4 linked regions of the Drosophila melanogaster genome follow. The gene in region 3 interacts genetically with the main gene of each other region. Each region holds a gene or a part of one and is shown on either strand. Other genes may lie near its edges.

Region 1 (6,643 bases), on a different chromosome or scaffold from region 3:
GTGCATACGGACAGACGGATATGGCCGGATATGGCCAGAAATATATAGACTTTATATGGTCGGAAACATTTCTGCTTGTTACAAACTTTTCAACGAATCTAGTATACCCTTTTACTCTACGAGTAACGGGTATAGAAATTTACAAAGATATCAACTCGTCTAGAAATTAGAAAAACACTTTGAAATAACACTTAATGTCTAGAATGAGTCGCCCTGAAACCGTTGATGGTCCACTCAAGCATCATACTCCTCTCCAGGTAGCCAAAGGTCACCAGCAGCGCTAGTGATTCCTCAGTGCCTCGTTGATGACACGCAGAATATCAATTTGCAGTTCGGTAAAAGCCACCGGCTCCAGCTGAGCATTGCGTATCTTCATGGACACAGCCTTGAAGAACGCACCTATCTCATCGTCCTCTCCGGAGTTGTGGCCATTGCTGGAGGGATACTCCATATGGGTGGGTTTGCTGGGCGTAATGGGCGCCGAGTGATAGCGAGACGTGGAAGTAGAGCTTGGCGTAGTGGCAGCATTCTGGTACCTAGGCGTGGTTGGAGTCTGTATCTCGATCTTCTGGAACTCCGCAGTTGATTGAAGCTGCTGATTTTCCAGGCTGGTGGCCCCGTCGCTGAGCTGCTCTTGCTTGGACATGGCACTGCCAACGCTTGGAACAGCCATGTAAACGGGTCCATCTTCGTGATCGTAAGTCATTACATGCTGATCCTGCTGCTGAGGAGGTTGTTCCGCCGCCGTTGTGGTTTCCATCTCCTCATCCTCATCGTCTTCCACATCATCATCATTATGGTGTACATCTCCGTTGATGTAATTCTCGATGTCCATGTCGTCATAGGTGGCCACACAGAGTTCACTTGCCTGCTGTTGCTGTTGTTGCTGCTGATGCTGTTGTTGCTGTTGGTGCTGCTCTTCCTGCTGTTGCTGTTGTTGTTGTTGCTCAGCCTTGTGTGGTCCCGTCAAATGAGGCAGGGTGGGCAAGTTAAGCTGGGAATTCGACGAAGACGACTCTAGGGTGATCTGCTGCGTGGGCGGTGAGTGAGACTGGGTCATATGGTCCTCGAGTTCCCTCACCGGGTCATTTTTGGGTAGCAGCATACTGAGTTGCGAATCGCTTTCCCTGAAGAGTAAAAAGTTATCAATATATGATTATGTTAAAATAAACAAAACCTCTCTTACAGCGTCTTTTGTTGTATGTACTTCTGAAGGAAACTGAGCGAATTATAGTGCTTCCAACGCGATGTGGCATCTATGTGCATCAGTGTCCTCAATCGCTTGTGTTCGCGTGCGTATTGGTCCCTTAAAGCCTTCCACTTCAGTCGACACTGTTTCACTAAAATAGTTAATGCTTGAAAAATCATCTTCATCCTTCGGCTGTTTAAGTTTATCAACCACATACCCGACTTCTTTAGTTTTCTGGCGATTTCCTCCCACACCTCCATCTTGAGCTTGGCATTGCGATAGTTCTCGTTGCCGTAGTTGTAGATCATGTCTTCCTGCTGGATCAGCGTGATCAGTTCCTTTTCGAAGTAGCTCTCCATGTTGAGAAATGTGTGTATGGGATCGTCGTCCTCCTCCTCGGCGTTCGTCGATTGATTGTGCGCTGCTGAAGTGGTGGATACATTAGACGTGATTGTTGCTGCCGAGCTCGACTGATTGGCGGCATTGACGCAGTCCACTATTTCGTTGTAGAGAGTGTCTACCACCGTGGTTGTGTTGGCGGTTCCACACTGCACTATGATTGATGGAGTAGCACCGCCTCCCGCATCCGTCAGATAGTTCCAGTTCGCTTCCGGCTGCGAGTGCATTTGTTGCTGATGCTGCTGTTGCTGCTGCTGCTGCTGCAGCACGGCTCCAATATGGCTTGCCAAGAAAGTGGCTGCCGGCTTCTTATCAGTTGAACTAGGCGAACTGAAGCTGCAGCTGTCGAGCAGCGTGGATGCACTGGCATCCTCAATTTTAATGCTGCCGGAAAGGTTTAGATTCTGGCTACTGCTGTTGCTGCTGAAGGAAGTAGTCATGGGCAGCGATAAGGGGGTCACCGTACCCACGGCGCCATTGGAAGTCTGACCAGATCTCCCTCTGTAACTAAAGAATTGTGGGTTTAATTAAATACGGACATATCATTTGGAAGCCTGAAGAACAGAACTAGTGATAGATAGCTCCATATGCTGTATAGTCTGCATTGGCAGTCAGCATGGCGGTGCCAACTTGAATTGCTCCACGTGCTACTTACTTTCTTGCCAGCGCATATGGACGCAGGAAATCCAGCTCTTTGAAATACTTCCACTTCACTGCTTTTGAGCAGGCCTTGGCGCGCTTCAGCTCCCGGCAGTACTGATCCCTCATGGCCTTCCACTTGGACTTGCACTGGACGTCTGTGGAAATGGGATTAAGTGCCAACTTTTTGGTGGGGAAACTTAAACGTTCACTTACCGGACCAACCCACATTGCTGCCAATCTCCAGCCATTTCTCGTCCTTGATCTTGGTGCTGCGGTAGTGGGGATGCTTGGGATTGTATAGCGACTGCTCCTGGGAGACCAGCGAAATGAGGATCAGCTCCTTGGGAATGCTGACCACATTCTCACCCAGACTAGGATCTATGCTGAGATTCACGTGCTGCTGCTGCGGCTGCTGGTGCTCCTGCAGCTGGTTGGCACATGGCAGCGTCTCCATGGCGCTCCCTACTTGGTGTCCATGCTGGCGGTGTGTTAATATGGGCAATTGTTATAAATAAAAACAGGGAAAACAAAAATGAGGTGACCGAACAGCTGATCCTGGAGAGTTGTGTAATTAGAGGGACCAGTTTCGCCTTGGCTATACAAGCATCTTTTTTACATTGAGTGGAACATCTGGTGGCCACCGACCTGGTCACCCTGAACAGTCCAGTGCTGCAAGAGGCGCACACCATTTCGATAAGTTGGCAGCCCGCTCATATGTTCGATTTTAAAATTTTGGCGCCAAAAAATCGTCTTTCTATACATTTGTATTTAACGGCTAATCCAATTAGCTAATTGCATTACCGCTAAGGAAAAAAGAAAACATCATAACATTCAGGCAAAACAAATTGTTTAACTCTCAGTTTATTGTGCGACGCAGTGCGGTTCAAAACTAGAAACTTTCTTCTGGCAAATATTGCAGCCGTCCTTATATAATTAATGCTCCATAATGCCGAAAATTGACCCAGAAACACAAAAACTCTACGACGAAATCAATGGCATGATACAGAAGTTTAAGGTGAATTAAATAAACTCAACGTACAGCGAAGTAAATTAAAAATATCAGATAATAAATATAGCAACAACAAAAGTAACATAAAAAAGTTTTCCCCATATAAAATAACAATACTCTAAAAATACCGATAGCCAGCTTAAAAAGAAATTCGTTGTCCTTAATTTAATTTTAACAAAAAAATATTAATATAACTTTTTGGAATATGTATGATAATATGATTGGGTTTTAAATATCTTGCCAGATTTCATACTTCAGTGCTAACTACTCCCATAATATTTCATCTCGATAATAGTCGAACACATTATTTCCAATTTTGAAAAAATTAAGTGACTTAACTTAATCGAAAACTGTATGCGTCTCTAACATTTATTCTGGAAATTCTTGTAATAAAAATTGTCATTCATTACTATGATTTTGCTTTCAGGATGACCAAAAAAGCAAGGCTGATTGCACGTTGGCCGATAAATGCGGCGACATGGGGGATGTGCCCAAGATTCGATTCTCATCCAAGAAGATTCTCAAGGGCCACATCAACAAGGTGAATTCGGTGCATTTTGCCGGGGACTCGCGGCACTGCGTCACTGGATCGCTGGACGGCAAGCTGATCATCTGGGACACCTGGACCGCCAACAAGGTGCAGATCATCCCCTTGAGATCCGCCTGGGTAATGACGGTGGCCTTTTCGCCGTCGGGTAACTTTGTGGCCTGCGGAGGAATGGACAACCAGTGCACCGTCTACGATGTGAACAATCGCGATGCCTCCGGAGTGGCCAAGATGGTCAAAGAGCTGATGGGCTACGAGGGATTCCTCAGCTCCTGTCGCTTCCTCGACGATGGCCATCTGATCACCGGCTCGGGAGATATGAAAATGTAGGGCTTTGCTTAACTTTTTGGAGTAAAATCTAAGTTTCCTATGACCAACAGATGCCATTGGGATCTGGAGAAGGGTGTCAAGACAATGGATTTCAATGGACACGCTGGTGATATCGCTGGCTTATCGCTTTCGCCAGATATGAAGACCTATATCACTGGCTCTGTGGACAAAACTGCCAAGTTGTGGGATGTGCGAGAGGAGGGCCACAAGCAGATGTTCTTCGGTCACGACATGGACGTGTCATCCGTCTGCGTGAGTACACATATATGTTTTAATAATAATAGCTTATATTAATTACCAAGAACAACTATAAGCAGCTAATCTATTTAGTACTTGTAATTTAATACAAATGTATTCATTACACCCACCCAATTATCATTATCGGTTGCAGTACCATCCCAGTGGCTTCGGGTTCGCCTCCTGCTCGGAGGACCAAACGGCGCGCATGTACGACCTGCGGGCGGACCAGCAAATCGCCCAGTATGAACCGCCCCAGAAGAACACTGGCTTCACGTCGTGCGGTGGGTTCTCGTTCTCCGTCTTGGTGGAACACGGTCGCCTTGACTTTTGACGGGTTTTTAATCTGATTTTGTGTCCCCACCAGCTCTATCGACCAGCGGGCGCTACCTCATGTGCGGCGGCATTGAGGGCAACGTGCACTCGTGGGACACGATGAAGCAGCGGCACACGGGTGGGTATTGGGAATTGGGTAGTTCGTATTGGGTATTGGATATCCATTGCACTTGGGGGATTCGGTGATAAAGAACGGGGAAATGGAGGCGAAGCTAATGCTCAGGCTGGCACTTGACTTACATCGATTTGCTGACCTTCTTCTCCACTTTCTACTTTCTACTTACCATTTGTCACTTTCCATTCCTCCACAGGCACACTGTCTGGTCACGAGAACCGCATCACTTGCATCAGCCTGTGCCCCAATGGCATGTGCCTGGCGTCCACCAGTTGGGATCAGCAAGTGCGTCTGTGGCTCTAATCTGTGCCTCTGATCTGGGTTCAGTGTCGTCCAAAGGCGAAGACAACGTTTATGCGTGCAGTTTGCTTGCAAATTACGTATACGTAATATCCATAGCCTGCAAGTAATAAGGATAGTTCTCAGTGCAGACTAACAATATTAATACAATATTAAATCTATTGTTAAACTTGCGAACATAAGAATAGCTTGCCCCCTTTAAGTGCTAATTTGCAAGCAAAACGTGCGTATGAATATTATTATAATAATTGAATACTTGATTACCTAGAGAAAGTAGCCTCCAATAACAAGCAAGTGCCAATTGGATGTGCGAAATAAAATGTATGAATAGTACAACAAAGTAACACGTCTCCTCCATTAAAACTCCATTGCAACTTAATTTTTTTTATATATTTTTTATATTTTTCTTATAAAAAATACTTATACAATTACGAAGATATTTTTGCTGCTGCGATTTTTGGCGCTTGGTTTTGTTTGTTTGTGGAAATTGTCTTTGAGCTGGTCAAAGAGGCAGCTAGGTAAATTAAAACAAATCACTTTTGAAATCAACAGAGAGATAAAGATACAGGTTCAGATACAGAATAGTCGAAAGTATACAGATAGATAGAAGATAGATAGAAAGAGAGAGAGAGAGAGAGAGAGAGATAGAAATGAAAGTCGCATAAATAACAGATGGATAGAGATAGCTTAGGATCACACAGGAAGCAGGATGCAACGATTTGAGTATTCTGTAGATGGATCAGCATAGATCAGCTGGTACAGTTTGTTTAGTTTATCAGACTCTCGGTGGAACTACTGTGAGTTGTTCTCCTGTTTGGGTAGATGGAAGGATAGCGACGACGGGACGGCCTTAAACGGAGAAGCCATCGCCGGTGGGATCCAGGATCCAGGGGTAGTTGTTGGGGCACTCCATGCACGTGAAGAGACGCAGCGTCTCGCCGGGCAGCTCCCTGGTGGTCAGGGGACACGCGTTGGGCAGAGAGCAGTAGGGCTGGCCCTTGACGTCGCACTTCTCCTTCCACTCCTGGAAGTCGCGCAGCGAGTTCAGCTCGGTGGGGTTCTGCATCCACTGGATCACCTGCAGGTTGGTCACGAAGAACACGTCGTTGCGGCCGAGCATCTCCTCGATGAATTTGATCAGCTCGTCGCGGTACTCCTTCTTCGACTTCAGCCACGAAGCGTGGAAGTGGAGTCCAAGTGGAGCACGGTTGCTATTGTAGTGGCGGTTGAAGTTGTGGCGCAGCAGGCGTGCGAACTGGTCGCCGCTGGCTACGTTTGAGCAGGAGTCCACCATATGGCAACCGGGCAGGGACTCGTCGAAGGTGGGATCGTCGCGCCGGTCCAGCTCGTTCATGACCATCTCCCACACGGGGTGGCTCCTCGATGGGCAGTTGTGCGCGTTGCCGTTGCACTTGTGCGGCATGCGGAAGTACAGGGTGTATGGCCAAATGGGCACGCGGCCAAGGGAGGCGGTGATGGAGGCGTCGTACACGAAGAACTGATCGGCCATCATCTCGAACTGCTTGTTGCCGCCCACGC
Region 2 (6,866 bases), 3.2 Mb from region 3:
GGCTTTTCATTGAGAGATTTTCCGTGGAGCAACAGGGTGACCTATGCAACAAAGGGCAACGCTATTTTTGGGCTTTTCAAACTGCAACCTTGCTAGTTAAACCGCTTCCACTCATTAAAACTACATTGAATGTATTCATAAGCTTGCAACAAACTAATGAAGTCATATGTGGATTTTTAAAAGGTTTGTTTAACGACATTGTGTTTCTTGGAAGAAATGTCTACGAGACTTGGCTTTATACATAAGTACATAGATATTTTTCGTACTACGGAGAACCTAGAAGGGCTCAGCGAAACTGGCACCAACAACATGGTTCAATGTGCACTTATTGAGGGGGCGTTCGATCTGCCCCCCATTTGCAAGTAATAATGGCTTTTAAAAACTCGCTATTGCATTTTGATCGGGGTCTCTTTTGAATTGTTATCGTCGCCAAGGGGCGTTGACTGCGTATGCTCGTTGGGCGCGCTGAGGGGAGTCCTGAGGGGGCGTGACTTCGAATGCTTGTTTCGTCGCACATGACGTTATCTTGGCGTCGTTTTCATCATCAAAGCAATAGAGTTCAAAGGCCCAATTAGCCAAATAAAATGCATGAAACCAGAAAATACGTTTCTCACTCATTGTTTTATAAGGCGAAATGTCATTAAATGGTATTGTAAATATTTGTGCGCTGCAATAAAATGGCAGCCGAAGCCAGTTATTCTTGTTGCTTTGCAGCTCGTAGGAACGTGCTGGTATTTTTCAAGCGCAATCGCTCGCTCAGTTTTTCGGGCTTTTCAGCTTTTTCAGAGCCTGGGTGCGGAGCCGGTGTCATCAGCATAATTTACGTGCCGATGCCCGCCCCGCCGAGAGTCACGTTTCCACCTCACGCTCCTTATCACATGTCGACGAGCACGGGGAACACTGTAGGAAATCAAAAGTGGGGAGTACTGTCAAAGTGCCACAAAATGCATATACATATGTAAATAAGAAACTCAAAGCTGCAAATCAAACAAGCAACGCGATTCGGATTAATTCCAATGCCTAAATTATAGCCAGCAATGTAATGTAGCAATATTGAGAGAATATCATATTATCCTAACTATAGATATAAACATAAAATTCTAATTTCAGCTTTATTATGCTTCCCATAAGTAAACATTGACCTTCTTAATATACAATAACTGTCAAATTATCATTACAAGATAATTCAGAAGACAAATATTTTGTTTTCTGGGATCGCGGATTATCAAGTTGGCGGGTTCATTTAGCGCGTGTTGCCTGTGCTTCCAAATGAGCAGCGCTTATCTCGTTTACCTCTTGATCATCGCTTATCAGCGGGGCCCTGAACGCCCCCATAAAGGCACGACACACACACATACATACACAAGTGGCACGCACACGGACATGCACACATTTCGAGTAATTCAATTATTTTGTGTATTATTTTCAATGTGCAACAAAAGCGACAATAAAATAACAAGCCAGCGGCAATATACAGCCAGCAGCCGACTTATCACCGCGCCGTCGCTGTTGTTGCAATGCTTGTTGCTGCTGATGTTGTCGTCGATTTCAAACTGCTGGCACTGACTGGCACTGGCACACAGCTATGGCAATTATTCTGTGTTCGCTTCAGTCGCCCCGCCCGTTGATTTTGATAGAGCCAGAGCCCCGAGACTTCCGCTGGTCGCGGGAAGCGGAGGGAAGCGAGGCGGGGTCGGAAAACCGCGGGGTCGGCTGCTGGAAAAATCCAAGGAAAGTTCGGCGAAAGTCGTTGCCTATCAATGATGGGCGGTCTCAAGGGCTGTACATACATACAAACATACATATATTTTGATAGCTTACAATATACAAATGTACATATGCGAATTACACAAAATGTCATTTACATTTTACGCCCATTTTACTTCCCATTTGCATGCTCCTCTTAAAGGATTTTGACATATAACTTTATGATTGAACTAAGCTAAGAACTAGAATGGTATGTAATATTTTCCTTGGGTTCTAACAAAAGTCGCAGGAATAGAACTTCCTGCTCACGTCCAAGCAAACCAATCTCAGCGTTTTTAAGACAAATATGCATTATAAATTCATCAATCCTTCATTATTTATTTATTTAAGATAATATAACCGAGGCCATCGACTATGTACCTATATACTAATATACATCATTTGATTGAACTAAGATTAAAATTTTCGTAGACTGAAAGGGTATACTAGATTCGTTGAAATGTACATATACATATGTAAGTTAAAGAAGGGTGGAACCGTCAGCTGGACGTCGGCGGTAAACAGCGGACACGGCGGGATACATCGGAGTTTAAAATTCAACAGAAAGAAAATAATTATAAAACGTATAAAAAATGACTAACAAAACCCGGATTTGAAATTCAATACGATATTTTAAATATAGTGCCCGATTTCCGATAATTGAATGTTGGAGTTGTCATCTTGACCGATAAGCCGATAAGTGGAACACTTGGGGTGCTGCCAGATGGTTAGATATAGTTTAAACTAATTTATATCAAACATAGACTTGTAAGGTTAAGATTACAAGGTTATTGGCTTGTAAAGTATTCTTGCTTTCTTGTATAATAAGTTATCAATTTTAAAAAATTCGAAATCATTGTCGTTAAGTTTTGTGGGAGCTCGCCCTTTGCAACATCTGGCAACTTTGCCGTCATATGTTTGACAGTTTGACATGCACACAGTTTTGGAGTAGCTCAAAATATTTTCGCTATCGTTTTTTTTTAATAATTTCGTGTGTGAAACGGTGATATTATTGATTTTTGTTGCATTTTATGCATCGTCCAGCTGAAGCACATCGAAATCCGCCAAGGGACTCCACGGCTTGCGCACAGGGAGGCAGTGAAAAAGTTTTGTTTACCTTTTTTCGATATCCCAGAGTTCTGCGATTTCGGTGTCGCTGTGTGCGTGTGCGAGCGCCCATGTCACCTGTGTGTGTGTGCGTGCGAGCTGGTGTGCAAAAATGAAAATGCATTCTCAATAAAGCGAAATAAATGTGCCAACCGCTAAGAGAGTAGTGCATTCTAAAATTGGTTGTTAAAGCTGTGCACATGGAAAATGTGCCCGATATTTCCACCAGCGCTTCGTCCTCTTCTACTTCTAATTCAACTTCCACACTGAAACTCCAAAGTAAGTTAGCCCCAACTCCCCCTACCCCTATCACCCATCCCTCTTCTACATGCATATATGTAAGTTATATCTGTGCTGTAGCCCACGTATCTCCCGATTTTCGACCTGATAGTCGTGCTCTCCTCGATATTGGTTTTCCAATTAGTTTTTGTTTTGTTGTGTTTCGCTTTGCGTTGCGTTTTGTTTTCACGTTGTTGGGGGTTTCTTTGGGCCATTAACCCATTGGTGGCCGCTGTGCCATATTACGCCTTTCCTGTCAATACTGAAATCTCTTTAGTATTACGCCCATCTACGGTATTGCAAAGCTGGTTTAAAGATGGGAGAGTCTAATTGGAAATTCCTATGGACGCAATCAGCTGTTATCTGGATTCTTTAAACATAAATATGGCAACTCTGCTCGTAAAAACCGATTGGCGGGCTTCGAATTTTAGAAGTGTTAATAACACACTCTTAGTTGGTCATAAATTCATGAGTATAGATAAGATAAATGGAAACATTTCTTTTCCAAACACAAAACTAGTGACCTAAATGTTTATAAACAATGATTGTTTAAAAGATTGGAAAGTGGTCACAAAAAAATCCAAGACGTTCACCACTTTATTTAAATAATAAATATTTATGTCTAGACCCAGAGTAATAATCAGTTGCAGACTGATAAAGCCTATCAAAGTTCTTGTTCTTGTGGTTTGTTCATCTTTGATTTGTCCTCTTTCTTAACCCTTTGTCGGCTATCTATGTGCAGAATCTATTGACATATTTATCGAACTCTTTCCCCAGCTGGCAAATCTAACGCTTTTTGATTTATGCTTCTAATAAAAATTCAATAGACTTGCAATTTGTCCAGCTACCCAGAAACTTTTGTTTCCCCCCCAGTTTCCCAGCTAAGCAAGTGGAGTAAAGCACGTGGAGTACAACAGTGGGATTATATAGCACGATTTTTTTTTTTCAAAATCCTGTAATCAAACAAAATTTAAAGAAAAGAATTAAAAACAAAAAATATTTCAATTAAATTGATATTTCCTATTATAGGAATATTTGGTTTTAACAGCATTTATACATGAGAAAAACCCTTAAAAATAAATACGAATTAAAAGCAAATTAATTTTAAAATAATTACAACAAAATCATTTTCCATTCAAAATTCCGTTTTTATCTTCTGGTTTTCATTATTATATATATGTTGTATATTTTTTTTTTTACTTAAACTAACAATTGTCGTGCCCACTGTCCACATCGTTGCACATCAAAAGCCGCGACGAACGCAAAAATATGCGAAGCTTCAGCCAAGAGTGTTTTATGTGTTACGCGGCTGCCTGATCCCCGAGTGCCCCGAATCCTGGGATCTGCGTGCTGTTGTGGCTGGTCTGCCATACATTACAATGAAGTATGTGCGCTCGAATGGATGGCCAGCCAACAGCCAGTGGCCCCACCTATTCTATTCCGATCCTGGTCCAATTCAGGCGGTTTATTTTGCCTGGCGGCAGGCGACCTTTTTGCACAGACACTCCAAGGAAGGCGAAGGGGGCGCAGACACTTGTCCACTTGGGGTCAGATGGTCGCATGTGGCGCTTTCCCCTGCCCGCTTTTCTGCTTTTCCGCTTTTCCCCAAAGCACAGCCGACTGAAGGCGGCGTCAACGGCTAATTATGACCCGCACGTTTTTGCGAAAACAAACACACATGGTTTTTGGGGGTGTGGAAATACCCAGGAAAGGGTGCTGGATGCCGGCGGCGGGGGGAGGCGGGAAAAGCAGGGGAGCCGGACAAGTGTTTAGGCTACATTTCGAAATGTTTCCGGCGCGCACTTTACGTTCCGTGTCGCCTTCAGCCTTGAGAGTCTATATTTGGCAACGCATGCCAGGGCAGAGACCCCCATTTGCCTACACCCGTGAACCTACCCCATTACTTTCTCCTCCTTTCTTGGCTGAAAACTCGCTGTTTGTTTGTTGCACTTTTATTGCGTTTTGTGCTGGGGCTCGTCGGCTAAGTAGTCCTTCGTCCCTGCCATAAACATGTCGTCTTTCGCTTGATTTAGCGTTTGGCTACCGCCCATCCTCCCCATTTGTTGGCCAACAAAATAGAGTGTCCGAGCCACTGACCGCTCTAGGCATACGTCGCGTATACGTAATGCTCGACGTCCCTTTCAGTTCATTTTTACGGACCCTGGGAAAGTGCAACAATGGCAGCCACGCCTCCTGCCTCCCCTGTCACATGCGCTTCTAATGCAAGGCTTTCCAAATTCGATCAAGATGGAGTCATAAATCTTGCGCCGCTTATGAAGTTTCCATTGAATTTGCATACAATGGGGCTGTCCGTTTTTTGGGGCCACTCGAAATTGCTCAATTCGAGAAATCGAGAACAAAATGTTACAGGAGCACTTACACCAAAAATGAAACCAACACGCTGTTTAGATAACTTACAAATAAATAAATAAGATCTACTCTTTTTATACATCCAGACGTTCTAGGATGTACATTTTTAATTTTGTTGTTTTACCTGGATAAATACCTTTTATATATTGTATGTACATTGAATTGATTATTTAAGACTGATTTACTTTTGTTATTCCTTTCTAGGCCAAATCACCTCCAAAAATGTCTTGATCCGATCGCAGAGCAGTGGCAAGCTAAGCAGCAATGAAGCGAAATCAGCAAAGCCAGCAGCAACAACCAGTACAACGACGACTCTGCGAGCGGCCAAGCTCAAGATCGGGGCCATGCAACAGCAGAAGCAGCAACACCAGCAGCAGCATCAGGCCACGAGTGGCGGCAACATCATCCTGCTGCGCGGCACACGCAACGAAAATGGCCAGATCATCATCCAGAACAAGCAGGACATTCTTAGCCTGCTCAGCGAACAACAACAGCAGCAGCAGCAGGAGAAAAGTCACTCCTCCACGGCCATTACGCTCAACCAGCTGCCCACGGCCACAACGGTGGCTAGAAAGACCATTGTGCAGGGCTCGAGTGGAGCCGGCAGCAGCAGCAGCAGCAGCAGCTCCACCATTTCCATTGTGGCCAACAGCAACAACAAGGAGGCCAGTAGCAACACGATCCTTCTGCAAACCCCCATCAATGCCAGTCAGTTGGAGAGCGTTCTAAAGGCCCAAGAGCGTTCCAAGCAGGCCAACGCCACGCAAACCAAGATGGTGGAGAGACCCTTTATGCTAAAACATGTAAGAGATGTGCAGTGACATTTGTGTTGTATTTTACCAACTTGTTCCATCACTTTTACAGGCCACACGCAGCTTGAGTTCCGAGAGCAACTGCGACAGCAAGTCACCCTTTGTGCTGCAAACGCTGAAGCGTCTGGAGAAGTCTCAATCCATACTGGTCATACGCAACTCCACGGCGTCGACCGCTGCAACCAACACTTCCATGGCCACTTCGCCACCAAATGGCAACAGTCTTGCCACCTCAAGTATTCTAAGCGTGACGCGCACCACGAAGGCGGCCAAAGGCGTGGCAGGAGCGCTGCACAAGCTCAAGGCGGCAGCAGCCACAACAGCCACTAGCGGGGGAGCCTCATCAGCCGGAGCAACATCATCTACGGCCACCACCATACTAAGGCTGGGAAAAAGCGCCACCACGGTGGCCATTAATGGAGCAAGCAAGCTGGAGGCAACGACGAGCACAACCACAGCGGTGCCAGTTCCGGCCACAGCGACAACATCAAATAAATTGTCCAACGCGGTGACAAGCGAGCAGCAGCAGCAGCAACAGCAACAATCGACAAC
Region 3 (9,909 bases):
TGCAGATCTCAGCACTTCCTGTCTATATTGAGTTCAGTTCTTTATTGCCAATTTACAGGAGGAAGGCTGGCTGATGGGTCAGAAGGAGGGCACCAACGAGAAGGGACTCTTCCCCGCCAACTTCACGCGTCCCATCTGAAGCGACAAACTGGGGAACAACTGGGCTAGCAACGAACCATCAGCAACTTCAGATCAACCATAAAAATCTTTACGAACGGAGGTCCAAATCCAAATACAAACTTTTGGCCAAATTTTCTTTGTGAGCGCTGCTTTTGCTTTTGTCCAATTAATAAATTCTTGTTTTGTGAAATGTATTCGGTAACTGGCAATCCATTTATAGCGATTGTTCGTTAGGGCAGTGCTTCCAACCATAAAATTGTTATTGTTAACACAAAGAAGAACGAACACACAGATGAGGAATGAGAGAGAGAATATTTTGAAAATGTTTCAAACATTATTTTTTAGTTCTAAGTTTCAAGAAAACCTAAAGCATAAACCTACGTATACATATATTATTTGTTAATCCTATTATTGTGCTCATAATTAATGCGAACAAAACGTATCTAATTTGTAATTTGTTAATGGCAAACCACAAATGTAAAACATATCACTCGAGAGCTAGAGTAATTGTTAAACAAATCAAAAGTCGGAGGAGATAGCCAGCCTGAACCTTTTGTATTTTGTGAATTTTGCAAATATGTAGTACGAGTTTTTTATAGTCAATTGAATGTATTTTTGGGGCGATGCAAAAAGGCCAGATGTAATTCCTCTGTGGTCCCCGAAGTTTTGGAAATTGTTTCAAGTAACAACATTAACGTTTAGCGATTACGTGTATCTTTAATTTGTACTTTGGTTTTTAATTTTTCGTTTGAGAGACTCGAACTAGCTACAGCTTTATAACGCGAACACAATCCAATAGTCACTAACCGATCGATTCGATGTTTTTATTTTATTTAACTCGATTGTAAATCACACGAAACCCGAAATAATTGTTTAAATTGTGCACACACTGTAAAGTTATTATTTTAATTTTATTTAATTAATTTAAACACTTATTTATCGCATGAACATATTGAACAAATGATAATAATTTACAGAAAGCCAATAAAACATAGATTAAATAATACAAGTCTTTTGATTTGGCGGGCAATGTCTTCTGATTTCGAAGATAGAAAGTGCTTGTAAATTTGACGATTGACCGGCGTTTTACGATATTCGCATTTTTTATGTTCTAAATGGTAATTATACACACATATATTTAGTTATTTAAAATTTACGATCATAGTCATTGGTTCGGGTCACAGCTTAACGAATATGGAAGTGCATGGTAAGTGTATTCCCTGTTGTTAGAGAGTGAAAAGGACACAACATTTTCAGTCTTTCCTAAAGCTATCAGGCATTGCCATCCTGAATTATGAGAATATGGCGCACTGCCATCCTTATTTTTAAGGATGTCTGGCGTTGCCATCCTTATTTGAAGGATGTAAGGCGTTGCCAACCTTATTGCTAAGAATGTGTATTGACACACATGAATAGAAATCCGTATGGCAACACCGACATGTGTTGTGGTGGGGGTGGCAACTAAAAAATACCAAAAGTAATATATTTTCAAATTAAGCTGAACTGCCAGGAAATCCGTTTTTATTTGTTATAAACCACTTCTATTAGTTATTATGCGGCAAATAAAACTCCTTCCTTATGTAATACAATGAAGACTTTGATTTAAGAGCATCTATTCCATCATCGATATCTTGCCACCACTAGTTCAAATGCCGTCCGATTGGTTTGACCATCGATATCGACGAACGATAGGGCCGATAGGTTCGGACAAATAACGCCTCCTGCTATCGAAAGTCGGGTCGTGCGTCAACGTTAGCGAAAAATGCAAAATTAAATATGTTGTGAGTAGCGAGCGATGCCAAATCGAATATGTTGTGAGTTTCGAGCAAGATCCCCGTCAAACGGACTCCCCGCCAGCCAGCGGTCGCCATCCGCAGCCGCCTGGCAGCCACCCGAAAAAGTCCCCCCCTCGACAAAAAAAAAATTTAGCAGCACCGAAAACGTTCCCCGAAATGCCAGTGTAAAGTGTATTTTTTCGCCAAACAGTGCTGGCCATTAAGCAAGGCCCCCCCATAATTGTTAAACAAACGGCGAATCGAATCGCGAAATCTTCGAATCGCATTGCTATCAAAATTTTTTCGTTTCGTTAACGCCCTCGCTTATATTTGTGTGTATTCGTTCGTAAAGCAGTGCGCAGCAAGTCGCACTGCTTGCCCGAGAAAAACACTGCGAATAGGAAAAAAGTTGAGAAATTTAAAAAAGAAATAGTTTGTTTAACTCAATGTGGTTTTCTTTTGCCACTAAACGGTGCATGCCAGCGAGAAGTTAGTTGGGGTCGCGTAACTACATAGTGGATTGTGCATATTTTTGGGCTTAAAACGGGTGGGCTAACCAAAAAATGAAAAAAAAAATGGTAGCTGAGGGTCGTGTGTGTTTACCTTAGCCAGTATGATGATGATTTTCCGGAATGCATATTCCCACCTTACCACCCATAATACCACCCCCCCCCCCCATCGTTCTTCTCCTTATCTCTCTGTCTCTCTTCTTTACTTGCAGTTCCACTGCATACAGAAAAATAAACAAATACAAGAAGCATAAAATATGCAGAAAATTAAATACAAAAGGAGCCACTAAGTGTTTCGTGTGAAATCAATTTGAAGACCGCTCGTCGTCGTCGTTGTCGTCGTACATACTTTTCCGTTTCAATTACACTACAATGAATATTTGTTGAAACTTCGTTGCATTTACAGACTGGTGTTTAAAAACAACAACAACAAGAAGAAACGTTAAAAACCAAGAACAACAACAACAACAGCACTCATACACACCGAAAACTAGAAGCAAAAAGGGAAAATTATATATAGATATATATCTACATATATAAATAGTATCGTATCACACATTTACATTAAAAGGAAGCCGAACAGACGTTATCGTAACTTTTATATTAAAAAGCACCAGTAAAAAATATATAACCAACTACACACGTTCCTTAAAAACAAATGTTTTCCAAACCGCAAACCAACTAAAAACGAAATGCTTTTGAAATTAGTTTAAGCTAACTAAAAAACGTAAGACCAACCAACGCACCGCAAAGCAAATCGCGTGATTAAACTAAAAATATTTAAAACAGACCGAACATCGGCAGGGAACCAAAAACAAAAATTAAAAGAACACGATCAATCCGGAAGAACTTCAATCGGCGTACTAAAACCCGAAATTCAATATTTTTTGTATAACATAGTGGTAGCTAAAACAAATCGAGACGATAACCGGAACATCTTTTTGGAGAATCTCGTCTGAATACCTTTAGTCCCGTGTCTCCGTAATGTTAAGTAAGTAATACTGAATGCTCATTGAATACAAGAATCGTAATTTCGTGGTTAATTTTTGACTCCGACCACTTGTTGGTTGCCACTAAAAACTGGCCGAAATATATTATAATCCAAAAATCGAATTATTCTCCAGGCGAGTTTAATGGATTGTCATCCATCTTATTCAAATCCATTCGAATATATTTATTTTGTGTAAAAGCCATGCTTTCATCATAATGAAAGGGTACTTTTGTATCTAAAATATGAGCTCATAAATTCTCCAGCAAAAATAGGCTGAGGATGCGATAAGGAACTGCATGAGTAACGTGAAGCTATTTCCGGCTTAGAAATGGTTTTTCGGAAATGGGTTGCATTAGAACAGTGATTTTCAGAAGAGCAGTAGTCGTCTAAAGATTAAGAAGTCAAATCAAACGTTATCTCAGAGTGGTTTATCATCAGCATATACAATATGTAAGGCAGATAAGACCAGTTCGCGGTAGGTAAATCTCCCTCTGATTTGGTGGCATGATATATCTGGCAAACTATTGTTAAAAAACGCTTCATTGCGCCAATTGCGTGCCCCTGCCCCTGAATTTTGCTGCCACTGCTAATTCGATTTTGTGGCTTTGCTCAGCGAGCAATGTGTTCCGAGTGCAGCCCACTAATCCTCCCGAATACTATGCGTCTAGCCATCATTATCCAGATCTCCATATTCGCCCACCTGAGCCCGCCAAATTCTCCTGGTCAGACTTTTGTCAAAATTATTGCTAGGTATTCCATCGATATTTGGTAGTGGTCATGCTGAAAGCCTTACCTCGACCCATGTCAATGTGTTCGCCAAACGAAATTGGATTAGCCATCACTCGATATATAAACTAGGGGTTGGAAAAGAGAGGAAATAGCACCAGTGGTTATAGGCTATATTCTATAGGCATGCCCTATGCTGAACCCATGAATGAACCGCGGATTCGGGTGGACTCATATCTTTTAACGATAAAAGTACATTAAGAGTTTTAAAGTTTATGCAATGATATTCCAGTTTTGTGTATAGAGCTGTGTTTTTGCATCATAAGTTTCGGTATGTGACTTTTTTATTTCCGAATTAGAATGATATGCCAATTCTTCTTATCCATAGACTGCTTGGTCCACCCAATAGGAGAACACTCTCGCTAACTTGTGGCCAGCGAAGCCATATATTTTCCAAAATCAGCTTTCTTGCATTGAACTTGGCTGAGGGGCATTGTGGGGAACGCTTCCTCAATCTATTGCCACCTGGTAGAGGGCGATCCCAGGTCTGCGCAGAGAGAGCAGGCCCAGAACTTAGAACCAAAGCCAATGCCATGGTCAGAGGAAGTCCCGGGGTAGTCATGGGTAGCCATGGGCAATCTATATCCGACGTCGTCATCGACGTCGCCAGCTAGTGGGGCAGGCTAGCAAATATGAAATGTTAATTGTCAGCACGGGACACAACGCGGCGAACTCTCGTTGGGCCAACAACTGTGGTGGTCCGTAGCAGCAATAGTTGGATAGATCCTACAGTTCGGTTATGCAAGCACTAAATCAAAGCTTTGTCTCCTTGCAGATGTTCTTGGATCGTTCGATGTGGTCTTTGTTCATTAGTAACCATCACTCTCAGCCTCCGAGTCACCGAAATCTGGTCAAGAACTTAGCGTAGACCCGTAATTAGCAATAGCAATAGCCAAAGAGAGCCTGGATCGTAAGCGCTGGAGGAGGTCTGCAGAGCGAGCAAAGCCGAAGTACAAATGCACCAATCGAAACTACAACAGAATCTATAACTTGGAACGGGTGAATTCAACGCCCGCCATACAACCAATTAGCTAGGTGTCCGAGGGTCCAGAGAAGGGAGTCCAGGAGACCATCCCACCATCCAAACAGCATACATTTTATATACGGAACGGTCTGTCGAGCGTAGTGGCAGCAGCACGCGAAAGCGTCTATAAATCTAGTTAGCATGGAGTGCTGTTTATCGGAGGAGGCCAAGGAACAAAAGCGCATCAATCAGGAAATCGAGAAGCAGTTGCGCCGGGACAAGAGAGATGCGCGCCGCGAGCTTAAACTGCTACTACTGGGTAAGTGGAGCATGGCCCATTTCGATTGCACTTAGCCTGGCTTAATGCAATTGAAGCCGCCTCGCTAATTGCATTGTTTGCCCGCCGCTTATGGCTATATATATTTTCCAATCCTATATCCCCAGGCACTGGCGAGTCCGGGAAGTCCACATTCATCAAACAGATGCGTATTATCCACGGCAGCGGTTACTCGGACGAGGACAAGCGTGGGTACATCAAGCTGGTTTTTCAGAACATATTCATGGCCATGCAGTCAATGATCAAGGCCATGGATATGCTGAAGATTTCCTACGGCCAGGGAGAGCATAGTGTAAGTGAAACATTGATCTAATTGAAGTCACTGAATCTTAAACAACATCTTACGATCCACAGGAACTGGCCGATCTGGTGATGAGCATCGATTATGAGACCGTTACCACGTTCGAGGATCCATACTTGAATGCCATCAAAACGCTTTGGGACGATGCTGGCATCCAGGAGTGCTATGATCGTCGTAGGGAATATCAGCTGACTGATTCAGCCAAATAGTAAGTTAACCGTTGGCATGCAAAGGGAACGGTTTAAATCCGTCCGCAAAATGACCGAAAAACGAACTGAAGAGACTGAAACTACCGAAACGACTATGCAAACTAAATCAATTATCTTGTCTATGTATAGTTATCTGAAGGATCTCGATCGTGTGGCTCAACCTGCATATTTACCCACTGAGCAAGACATTTTAAGAGTTCGTGTGCCCACAACAGGGATAATTGAGTATCCCTTTGATTTAGAAGAAATCAGATTTAGGTACATACCATCTTTCTACCCTTACTTCGTTGCATGTGCATGACCTCTTGTTTGGTTATGGTTAAAATTTATTTTGTACTTTGTAACTACACACTTAAGAATTTCTTTAGCGCATGTCTCTTCAAGCAAACAATTCAGGGACTTAGTTAGGGCCTTCAGCGAAATTGATGGACTGAGACGGGTTGCAAAACTATTTTTGCCACTGCTTTTGGTTCCGTTCATTGTTTTAAAAGTGTATTAATTTATCTAATTTAGCTACTTGAGCGATCTAGCTCGAATTGAACAGGCTGATTACTTGCCAACCGAGCAGGATATTCTGCGTGCTCGAGTGCCGACAACTGGCATTCTTGAGTATCCATTCGATTTGGATGGCATTGTGTTTAGGTATCTATTAAAAATATCAATTGGTAATTACCGGCAAGGCTAGTAATGTAAATGGTCATTGTAAAGCTAGTGAAGACGATTTCTTACAATTTAGTTACTAATAGATTCGTTGCTTGCGCTCTAGAATTAAATGCTTGTATGTTTGGCCTTATATGTAGTTAATTTGTTGGTTAACTTTTCTTACAATAATATATTTTTCTTAATAAACAGAATGGTAGACGTCGGTGGTCAGCGATCCGAGAGAAGAAAGTGGATTCATTGCTTTGAGAATGTGACATCAATTATATTTTTGGTAGCGCTATCGGAGTACGATCAAATCTTGTTTGAATCTGATAATGAGGTATGATTTCAAGTTATGAATATATTTTTTTTAAACAAATAATCACCTGTACGCTTTCACAGAATCGAATGGAGGAATCTAAAGCTTTATTTCGTACTATAATTACATACCCTTGGTTTCAAAATTCGTCAGTTATTCTTTTCCTGAATAAGAAGGACTTGTTGGAAGAGAAAATAATGTATTCGCATTTGGTAGACTATTTTCCTGAATACGATGGTAAGTGTTCCGCATGATAAAGGTGGCCATAATTATGTACGATTTTATGCGGCAATGAACCAGGTCCAAAACAGGATCACGCTGCGGCCAAACAGTTCGTTCTGAAAAAGTACTTGGCCTGCAATCCAGATCCCGAACGTCAATGCTATTCGCATTTCACAACGGCCACAGGTGGATTTTCACCTTATGTACTTAAGATCTATGTAATTGCCTTAAATCGCCAATATCATCCGTAGATTATTTGCTAGTTTTCGTAGAACCACGCTAGACGTAACTTCATATTCGCCTTCTTATCGAAACAGGTCCTCAGCGAGATGCAATAACGGCCCGAGAGTTTATACTGCGAATGTTTGTAGATTTAAATCCAGATTCCGAAAAAATTATCTATTCTCATTTCACGTGTGCTACAGGTAAGTTTGCTGCCAGTTCTGTGTTTGGTCAGAAATTGTGTGTGGATGTGATTTTAGTTTTCAGCCTAAAAAGGACTGGTCAAAAGGTAAACTTTTGTGTGAAAAACATTTACATTTGCATATTTGCTTTTGCCGCTGATCTAGAGTAGAGAGTAGTTGTGTATCGCTAGTCAAATTTGCAAACCTAAACGAATTGATTTCTAATAAAACAACGATCTCTTGGTAAACAGATACCGAAAACATCAAACTTGTGTTCTGCGCTGTCAAAGATACAATTATGCAAAATGCACTTAAGGAATTCAATTTGGGCTAAGGCGGGCAGTGCGGATATCAGGAAAAGTGGCAATGCAAATGAATTATTTATTTATAATGTATATGATTTGTTTTTCAAAGTCCCTCAATAAAAACTAAATATAGTCTGTGAAATATCGTGAATGGAAAATGTGTGCAGTTTACTATCATAGGATTATTTGACAAAATCAAACTAACTACGCCTTCTTTTCTTTTGTCTAGATACGGAAAATATAAGGTTTGTGTTTGCAGCTGTTAAGGACACAATTCTGCAATCGAACCTTAAGGAATATAATTTGGTCTAAACTGGATTTGGATCGAAAAACTATTTTTGTGATTTTTATACAAACACACATACACATTCATATAATTCCTTTTTCGCATATTTACTAAATATAAAAGAAGAATTGAGAAGCGAGCGAATGTGGCCGAAAATTAGGCATAAATTAGACCCGAGAAAGTTTCTTACGTTTGTTACATCAGGAACCGAAAATTGTAGCATAAATAGAATACTAAACTGAGATGCTAAAACCGCATCAGCAGAATGATGAAAAAGATGTATACATTTTAATTTGAGAGAAAAATAACACAAAATCTGATACAGTGTGACAACAAATAATCAGGGCAGAGTTTCTCTTACGAATGTGACGATTCGTAAAACATTTATTTATATTGCAGTACTTCTATTCTTTCTAGCGGCAAAGTTTTCAGAAAACGTTGTGTGAATTTTTTTTTTTTGTTTCGACTAGGAAAACTCTTGAAAGTCAAAAAGACAGTGGCCAGAAATGATTGGTACCCAATCGATAGAGTTTTTGGTTAGATTTGAATAAATCTGATGGTAGTTTTTCCTTCCTACACAAGAAACATGATTTCCTTGAAAAGTTTTTATACAAAATATCGTCCGAATTAGTTGTTGTCACTCTGTAATATTTAAATAAATTTATTACTATAGTAACTTTTGTAATAAAATCCGAAACACAAAATATGAAACGTAAATTTAATCAAAAGCTTGATAAGGAACAACAAACTGAAACAACTTTGTCGTACTGAAGCATAACATAATAAAGCAACATTTTACTAAATAACTACAGAAAAACAAAAACATACTTTTGCGTAAAAATCCCCCGAAATATATATATATTCAAAGAATTATATATGCAAGAAGTTTCTTATTAGAATTTCAGGGCATATAGGCGTGTAAAAATAATAAACCGAAAATGATAAGCTGATAAAATGATAAAATGAATGAAAACGAAATCACAGATAATACTGTATTTTTTATTAAGCTAAACAGTAAACCGTAAATATTGATACTATTGTTTACCGAAATATTTAACTATACATGAAAGCAGATATAATAATTCATAAACGCATATGTAACAATTTAAAAATTGATTAATTTGCATTGCGCGAGCTCCATTCATTGTAAATTACGATTCGTATTAATACCATGAGAATGAAAAGAAAAGAAATGAAACGCATGCAAACCAATACAAAAACGATATAGGAGCTAGATTTGTATGAGAAAAGCCAGAAACATTTACATGGAGCATTCATTAAATACGTGTTTGTAAAAAATGTCGATAACCACCCATGCAACATGCAACATGCAACAGCAGAATCCATACAACTTATTGATATTTAATCAGACATCAGGTTAAATCCAATCAAATGCGATATACCACTGGTCGAGAAACACAACTATCAGAAGGGAAAGTTTTGCTCTCACGTACTTTTGTTGCCATCAAAATTTCAGTCGAAACATTGTTATCAAAAATAGCTTGATTTTCGTACTTTTTACATTAACTTTGTTAGTTGTTTGCTTATTTTATAGATCTTAATGTATGCAACAAGGGACTCGCTTTGGCGGCTAGCCAAAACGGCGATGTCTGGCCAAGTGGGTTCAGTGTTTTGTTTTTGTTTTTATAATTTTAGTTTAATTTAATATACAAGGATAACTAAATGAGACGCACATAAATAGAAAACCCCATCAACAAATTATTTATGTAAAAATCCAA
Region 4 (6,683 bases), on a different chromosome or scaffold from region 3:
AAATAAATCAATAAACATTTCCTCGGCCGATTGGCGACTGGTGTTAGATTACTAATTGCCGTTTGGCATTAATTAAGTCGCTATTTAGCAATTAAGAGGTGTTTGATGGCATTTAAGGAAATCGGTGGTTCACAGTCCATGATATTTTTTAAATGAATTTTTGAATAATAAATATAATATAAAATAATATAAATTAAGACATTTTTGTTTAAATCCAACGAATATAATTTTAATTAAATCAAACCATAAGTGTTCTGTTTTGCTAAACACCTTTCTCCAGGGTATCTCGCATAGCCCTAAACATTTCGGGCAACAATCCCACATGGCTATCCACGCAGTTGCTGGTGCAACGTTCCAAGCTATAATCGGATCCATTGAGGCGGCACTGCTGGATGCACTTCTCTAGGCGATTCTCAAAATCGGATATACCCTGCTGTACGAAGCAGCGTGATCGGGTCAAACGGATTTGGCAGCGATCGATGCACCGCTCCACCGCCTCCGCATTCGCGTCCGCATCCGCACAACAGGCGGTCGCACATCTGTGCATCTCGATCTGCAATTTGCGCAGATAATCCCGATCCAGATCCTCCATGGCGGTTAGGATTGCATTGTCAACGCGTTCTCGCTTCTCCTCCAAACTCGAATTGTCACAATCCATCTCGAGTAGTATAAAATTTATGGAAAATATAAAAGTCGGTTGGTAATTTTCGTTTGACTGCCCTTATTTGAGTTACGCAAAACGCAATGCTACTTTGGTTTTGTAATAATTTCTTCAATTTAAATAATATATGAGCAGGAAATGGGCGACTCGCAGTGTTAAGTAAGTTAGGTCATGTTCTTGACTCTTCTTGGGCAAATTTTTAAACTAAAGTCACGGCATTGACATAACTCAGTGTGAAGCTATCTCTAATTGAGTTTGAGTTAATTTGTTTTTTGCTGATAAGTGCACTACTGAAAGTGTATATAAGTAGAAGTTGGACAACGTGGCCGTGCATAGTTTTTAAAAATGCATTACTTGCATATCTTTGGGCTCTTGGTCTTTTTGGCCGCTTTTGGATTAAGCCTTGAACGTCGTGATAAGGAATTCTACGGGATATCTAAGGAGCAGCTAACGACTACTAAACATAAAGAGAATTCTGTGGAATTTGTACAACACAAGATATCCTTGAAGCTGCCGCAGAGATACAACCGATTCAAACGTCAGTCCTTTACGCCATTTGAAAGGCGTGTGATACGTTTACTACGTAAATTGGGCTTATTAAAAAGCGATGCTGAACAACTGTTGGATACTCTCGAAAAGGACAAGGATCTATTACGAAGATTGAAGAAGTTACTCGACGAGGTCGACACCGAACATGAGACCAATGATTTCCTTGAAGATTTCTTCGATTTAATATTTTTCAAAAAAATATAAGCAGCTTTCTTCCTGTTGTTAGGAATGATATTGATCGATAACAATATTGCCGATTATACCGATAATTAATGCCATAAAATCGTTTATTTAAATTGTTTTAGATATTGCAAACAATCTGATTGCTAATAGCTAACAATATCATTACGATAATCGTTTGGATTATTCTAATCCCTTACTTCCTCCATCGCCCTCACACGCCATCACTCTCTCTCTCTCTCTCTCTCTCTCGATAATTATCGATAGTTTGGGCACTTGTGTTGGACCAACTTAAAACACCGCACAAATGATTGCCATAAATTTGATGGCAACAAACAGCGACAACAAAAACAAAGAGTAGCGCTGCCGCCCGCACTTTCTCCGCAGTTCTCGCCATTTCTCCGCTCTACTTTCTCCGCTCCTCTCTCCACTCAATAATGTGCCAACTGTTGAGTTTCCTTCCGCTTCCGAATGCGAGCGCGAAAGAGAGAGAGCGAGAGCGAGAGAGGGTGTGAGACAGAGACGGGGCGAGCGGGAGTATGTGGGCGTTGGGCGGCAAAGGGTGAGGGAGTGAGAACGATACGGCCACTCGCTCGCTTGCTCGCTCTCGCTCTCTCTCTCTCCCTCCCTCCCTCTCTCCCTCTCGCTCTCTCGCCGGCATCGAAGGCTGCTTACAGGTGTTTATAGTACTTCGGCTTTTGCCGACCACAGCCGAAGTTGCCGGCCGATTGCTGGCCTCTCGCTCGCTCCCGCGCTTATGCTCAATAGCGCCCTCTCGCTCCCGGTCGCTTTATATTCCTGGCAATGCGTCGCCTTCGCATCAGTTTCATTTGAACGGTCGACGAGGCGCGTTGTTCTAGAAATAAATAACTCATTTAAATAGCAGAACAGCCCAAGCAGGCCAAACATTTCAAAGCAAAATACCAAAACTCTCTGGAACTACCAAGTTCTTAAAAAAAAACACCAACATCGCCCAAAACACAACAAAAACATCGCATACCATAAGAAAAACATAAACATACTGAAAAACTTACAATATCTAAATATAAAGTAACTATTTTTTTGATTGTGCTTCTAAGTGTTGTGCTAAACCAATATTAACTTGTACAAATATTCGAAAATATTCAAAGATATTCCAAAGTATTTATTCAATACTTGAAATATAAGCTACGATACAAACTTAAAACTTAAAACTATGTAAGACTAAGATCTAGTTTTTGTGCTTTTTGAATCCTAACTGTTAACGTGTAAAAGCACGCAAAAATGTGCACGAAATTTTGACTTGATTCGAACGACTGAAAAGTGCGTTCCATTGTAAAGAAAAACTAAAGCGGCAAACCGAAACGGTAAATATGAATATACTTATTGAAATTCATTGAAAAATTTCCTTGGAAAATTTGTTGATTAATTTCGTGATGTGAGAGTTTATTTGCCGTGTGTGATTGTGAGCAGCGTGTTTGTATTGTGATTTTTCGGAAATGTTTTTATATTTAGTCTTCAAATGGGGATTCCCAGATTTATTTAAAGTTTCAGCTACAATTTTTGGCAAATATTCGTAGTTTTAGGAAAAGCTCCACAGAATATTGTATTGTATGCTTCAGTTAATAGAATCACGCATGGAAATTATCAAGAATTCGGTTCTCAGCTTGTTGTGTTGAATTTGATGAGTTTTTTTGGAATATCATAAAATATAATCGGATTTTATAGTTTACAAAGAGTTTCAAAATTCCACAGATGTAAAATAGTTGACTCGAATTGCTTGAATATATTAATATATCTTAGTTTAAAGCAGTAATTTTTTAAAAATTATTTAAAGCTCGAGCTCTTTTTAGGCTCCACAAATATGTGTGCAACAATGTGTAATTTTGAATAAAATTCCGTGGAATGCCCTTTGCTTTTCATTCTGTATAAATTCAATTACCAACATTCTCATTGTCTCAGAGTATCCCCCTACTTTCGAATGTCTGTGTGTCAATAAGATGATTTAATGAAAAATCGTCTGCAATTTCGGTTCGAAATTCGGCAAAAACACGGCGAAACAAACTCGTTACGCATACGCCGTGTGGGCAATTGTATTAAACGATGCCATTCATTGAAAATTGCTGGCCAAAGCGAGCGGTTTAGGTTTTTTTTAGGCCACTCCGGTTAAGGATTTGGGTGTGCTCTTGTCGGCCAGCCAGTCTCGTTAGCCGAACTTGTTGCCACATTCGCATCCGCACTGGCATCCGCAACGACATCCGCACACGCATCCTTCGTGTACGTGTCCTTTTGCTAATCGGTGCGTTTAAGGAACTGCATGCTGGAGGATGTTGCAGCTCTTGTATTGGCGCGTGACCGGCTTTTCTCTGACATAAGAGCGCGAAATGGCGAAAATAACGTAATGGCGAAAGGCGGCACTCTGTGCGGTTGGCAATCTTTGATTTCGCATTTCCCCGGTAACAGGGGAAAATGTCAGACAACGTGGCGTATACGTGGCATTTGTGTTTGTGCTTCCGCTCGTTTGTTGTCCTCAAGTTTGCATTCAACGACGAAGGCACTTCGTCGCGGTAACCAAGTGTAAATATACAATTTAAATTTCTCTAAGGAAACTTTAAATTTATATATTTTTTTTTTAATCAATACGAAGAATTTACATTTTAAATCACCAAAGTATAAACATGAATGAAGCCTGCACATATTTGTAATAATAAATGTGTGCGCTTTGAAATGGTTTAAAGATTTTTGTTTTAGGCGACTTTGTTTGTTTCTGAAATAAAGAAATTGCTACCCATTTGTCTTGCGTACATATAAAAACGCGATGTTTCAATTGTTGATCCACAATTTTTTGTTTGCTCTTGTTTGCTTCGCTTCACATAAAATATTCAATTTTCATTTCTTGTCGCTTTTTTTTTATTCGTGACCCAGGGGTTGGGTTCGCATATAAAATCCAATAAAAATACACATAAAAATTGAAAACAAAATACAAAAAAAAGAAGAAAAAAAAAAAAACAGAAAAGAGAATGAAAATGGTCGAAAGATACCGCGGGCTATTTGACAGCAACGAGGGGGAAACACGTATGCATCGCATTTTGATTGCAGATTGTATATCCATTTGTAAGGGTGTTTCCTTTGCCAAAAGCACCGTGTTAATTAATAGAAATTGCCATTTGAACAATTTTTGGGAATTTCAATATCGAATGGAATTGCATTGCAAACCAAACCAATTACCAACCAGTGTGGTAATTTATTCACCATTTTTTACCCCCACAAAAATTTCCACAATCAATCATTGTTGTGTGTGGCAGTTTAGGTAGCTCAAAGAAGCTGGGGTCGGAAAAATCGAATTTTTGAAATTTGAAAGCTGGAATCGTTTGCCCATTTTTTGCCCATGTTTGCCCACCAATTAGTTTTTTTGCCCACGTCCAGTTTTTGAGATATGAATTTTCGAAAAAGTTCGAAAATTTTCGAAAATCAAAAATTTCGCTTTTTTCAAAATTTTTTTTTTTAAATCGCAATAACATCGTTTGCCCACGTTTGCCCACCCTTTAGAATTTTGAAAAAATTTATACTTTAGAAAATATAAGGCTTTTAAGTTTACCTCGGTCTAATCAGAGAGTAAATCGTTTGCCCATCTCTTAAAACCAAATATTATCAACAAAAAACGTTTGCCCAACCATTATTATTAGTTTTTATCGTTTGCCCACCCTTTAAAAAACCTTTAACAAAAATTTTTTTTCGATTGCCCACATTTAAAATACAACCAATTTCCTTAGCCCACCTCTTTAAAATAAAAATTTCCAATAAAAAACGTTTGCCCACCATTTAAAACTAAATAATTTCGATTGCCCACCTTTTAAAACTAAATAATTTCGTTTGCCCACCCTTTAAAATTTGTTTTTTTCGTTTGCCCACCTCTTAAAAATGGTTTTTTCGATTTTTCACCTATTAAAAATAAATTTGTACATATGTATGTAATAATTGTAAGATGTGGCGTCAAAAGCACAGTTACTTACAAAAGAACAGTTATTTACATATTTACATACATTTTCAATATATCCATAGTGTTAATCATTCATGAATTGTAACATCAATTTTTCTTAATCATTGTTTCATTTCATGGAAAATATTTTATATTGCAATATAATATATATGCAAAAAAATGTATGTATGTTTATCAACACCCTCCAAGCTCAAGAAAATTCTGGAATAAAATATTTTCCATGAAATGAAACAATGATTAAGAAAAATTGATGTTACAATTCATGAATGATTAACACTATGGATATATTGAAAATGTATGTAAATATGTAAATAACTGTTCTTTTGTAAGTAACTGTGCTTTTGACGCCACATCTTACAATTATTACATACATATGTACAAATTTATTTTTAATAGGTGAAAAATCGAAAAAACCATTTTTAAGAGGTGGGCAAACGAAAAAAACAAATTTTAAAGGGTGGGCAAACGTTAAAAATGAATTTTAAAGGATGGGCAAACGAAATAATTTATTTTTAAAGGGTGGGCAAACGTTAAAAATGAATTTTAAAGGATGGGCAAACGAAATTATTTAGTTTTAAAAGGTGGGCAATCGAAATTATTTAGTTTTAAGAGTGGGCAAACGAAAAAAACAAATTTTAAAGGGTGGGCAAACGAAATAATTTATTTTTAAAGGGTGGGCAAACGTTAAAAATGAATTTTAAAGGATGGGCAAACGAAATTATTTAGTTTTAAAAGGTGGGCAATCGAAATTATTTAGTTTTAAGAGTGGGCAAACGAAAAAAACAAATTTTAAAGGGTGGGCAAACGAAATAATTTATTTTTAAAGGGTGGGCAAACGTTAAAAATGAATTTTAAAGGATGGGCAAACGAAATTATTTAGTTTTAAAAGGTGGGCAATCGAAATTATTTAGTTTTAAGAGTGGGCAAACGAAAAAAACAAATTTTAAAGGGTGGGCAAACGAAATTATTTAGTTTTAAAAGGTGGGCAATCGAAATTATTTAGTTTTAAATGGTGGGCAAACGTTTTTTATTGGAAATTTTTATTTTAAAGAGGTGGGCTAAGGAAATTGGTTGTATTTTAAATGTGGGCAATCGAAAAAAAATTTTTGTTAAAGGTTTTTTAAAGGGTGGGCAAACGATAAAAACTAATAATAATGGTTGGGCAAACGTTTTTTGTTGATAATATTTGGTTTTAAGAGATGGGCAAACGATTTACTCTCTGATTAGACCGAGGTAAACTTAAAAGCCTTATATTTTCTAAAGTATAAATTTTTTCAAAATTCTAAAGGGTGGGCAAACGTGGGCAAACGATGT

What was found.
Region 1: of Galphaq (region 3) and Gbeta76C, changing one suppresses a phenotype caused by changing the other (phenotypic suppression), as found in Drosophila melanogaster (one study listed by BioGRID).
Region 2: of Galphaq (region 3) and Camta, changing one suppresses a phenotype caused by changing the other (phenotypic suppression), as found in Drosophila melanogaster (one study listed by BioGRID).
Region 4: of Galphaq (region 3) and rdgA, changing one suppresses a phenotype caused by changing the other (phenotypic suppression), as found in Drosophila melanogaster (3 studies listed by BioGRID).

The regions. Positions count from the first base shown.
Region 1 is NT_037436.4:19,684,552-19,691,194, forward strand, and holds Gbeta76C (G protein beta subunit 76C), read left to right. Parts: upstream 1-3,085; 5' UTR 3,086-3,176; coding exon 3,177-3,245; intron 3,246-3,666; coding exon 3,667-4,112; intron 4,113-4,166; coding exon 4,167-4,368; intron 4,369-4,507; coding exon 4,508-4,637; intron 4,638-4,720; coding exon 4,721-4,807; intron 4,808-5,000; coding exon 5,001-5,107; 3' UTR 5,108-5,441; downstream 5,442-6,643. Other genes in the region: CG8765 (uncharacterized protein), read right to left, coding at 281-1,127, 1,187-1,340, 1,407-2,095, 2,244-2,385, 2,444-2,684; verm (vermiform), read right to left, coding at 5,955-6,643. UniProt on the Drosophila melanogaster protein: Guanine nucleotide-binding proteins (G proteins) are involved as a modulator or transducer in various transmembrane signaling systems.
Region 2 is NT_033778.4:9,443,380-9,450,245, forward strand, and holds the start of Camta (Calmodulin-binding transcription activator), read left to right. Parts: upstream 1-2,666; 5' UTR 2,667-3,053; coding exon 3,054-3,132; intron 3,133-5,706; coding exon 5,707-6,305; intron 6,306-6,366; coding exon 6,367-6,866. Other genes in the region: ced-6, read right to left, coding at 1,294-1,304.
Region 3 is NT_033778.4:12,610,951-12,620,859, forward strand, and holds Galphaq (G protein alpha subunit q), read left to right. Parts: upstream 1-1,789; 5' UTR 1,790-1,896; coding exon of another isoform or gene 1,897-1,901; exon of another isoform or gene 1,902-1,929; coding exon of another isoform or gene 1,930-1,934; intron 1,935-2,616; coding exon of another isoform or gene 2,617-2,707; exon of another isoform or gene 2,708-3,395; intron 3,396-4,836; exon of another isoform or gene 4,837-4,879; intron 4,880-4,956; 5' UTR 4,957-5,346; coding exon 5,347-5,464; intron 5,465-5,589; coding exon 5,590-5,774; intron 5,775-5,836; coding exon 5,837-5,991; intron 5,992-6,121; coding exon 6,122-6,250; intron 6,251-6,505; coding exon 6,506-6,634; intron 6,635-6,844; coding exon 6,845-6,974; intron 6,975-7,036; coding exon 7,037-7,190; intron 7,191-7,253; coding exon of another isoform or gene 7,254-7,361; intron 7,362-7,492; coding exon 7,493-7,600; intron 7,601-7,830; coding exon 7,831-7,913; 3' UTR 7,914-8,033; downstream 8,034-9,909. Other genes in the region: Amph (amphiphysin), read left to right, coding at 59-139; CG45086 (uncharacterized protein), read left to right, coding at 1,897-1,901, 2,617-2,707.
Region 4 is NC_004354.4:8,922,961-8,929,643, forward strand, and holds the start of rdgA (retinal degeneration A), read left to right. Parts: upstream 1-2,223; 5' UTR 2,224-2,736; intron 2,737-6,683. Other genes in the region: CG12661 (uncharacterized protein), read right to left, coding at 263-658; CG43255 (uncharacterized protein), read left to right, coding at 1,007-1,414. UniProt on the Drosophila melanogaster protein: Required for the maintenance of phospholipid turnover within the photoreceptor.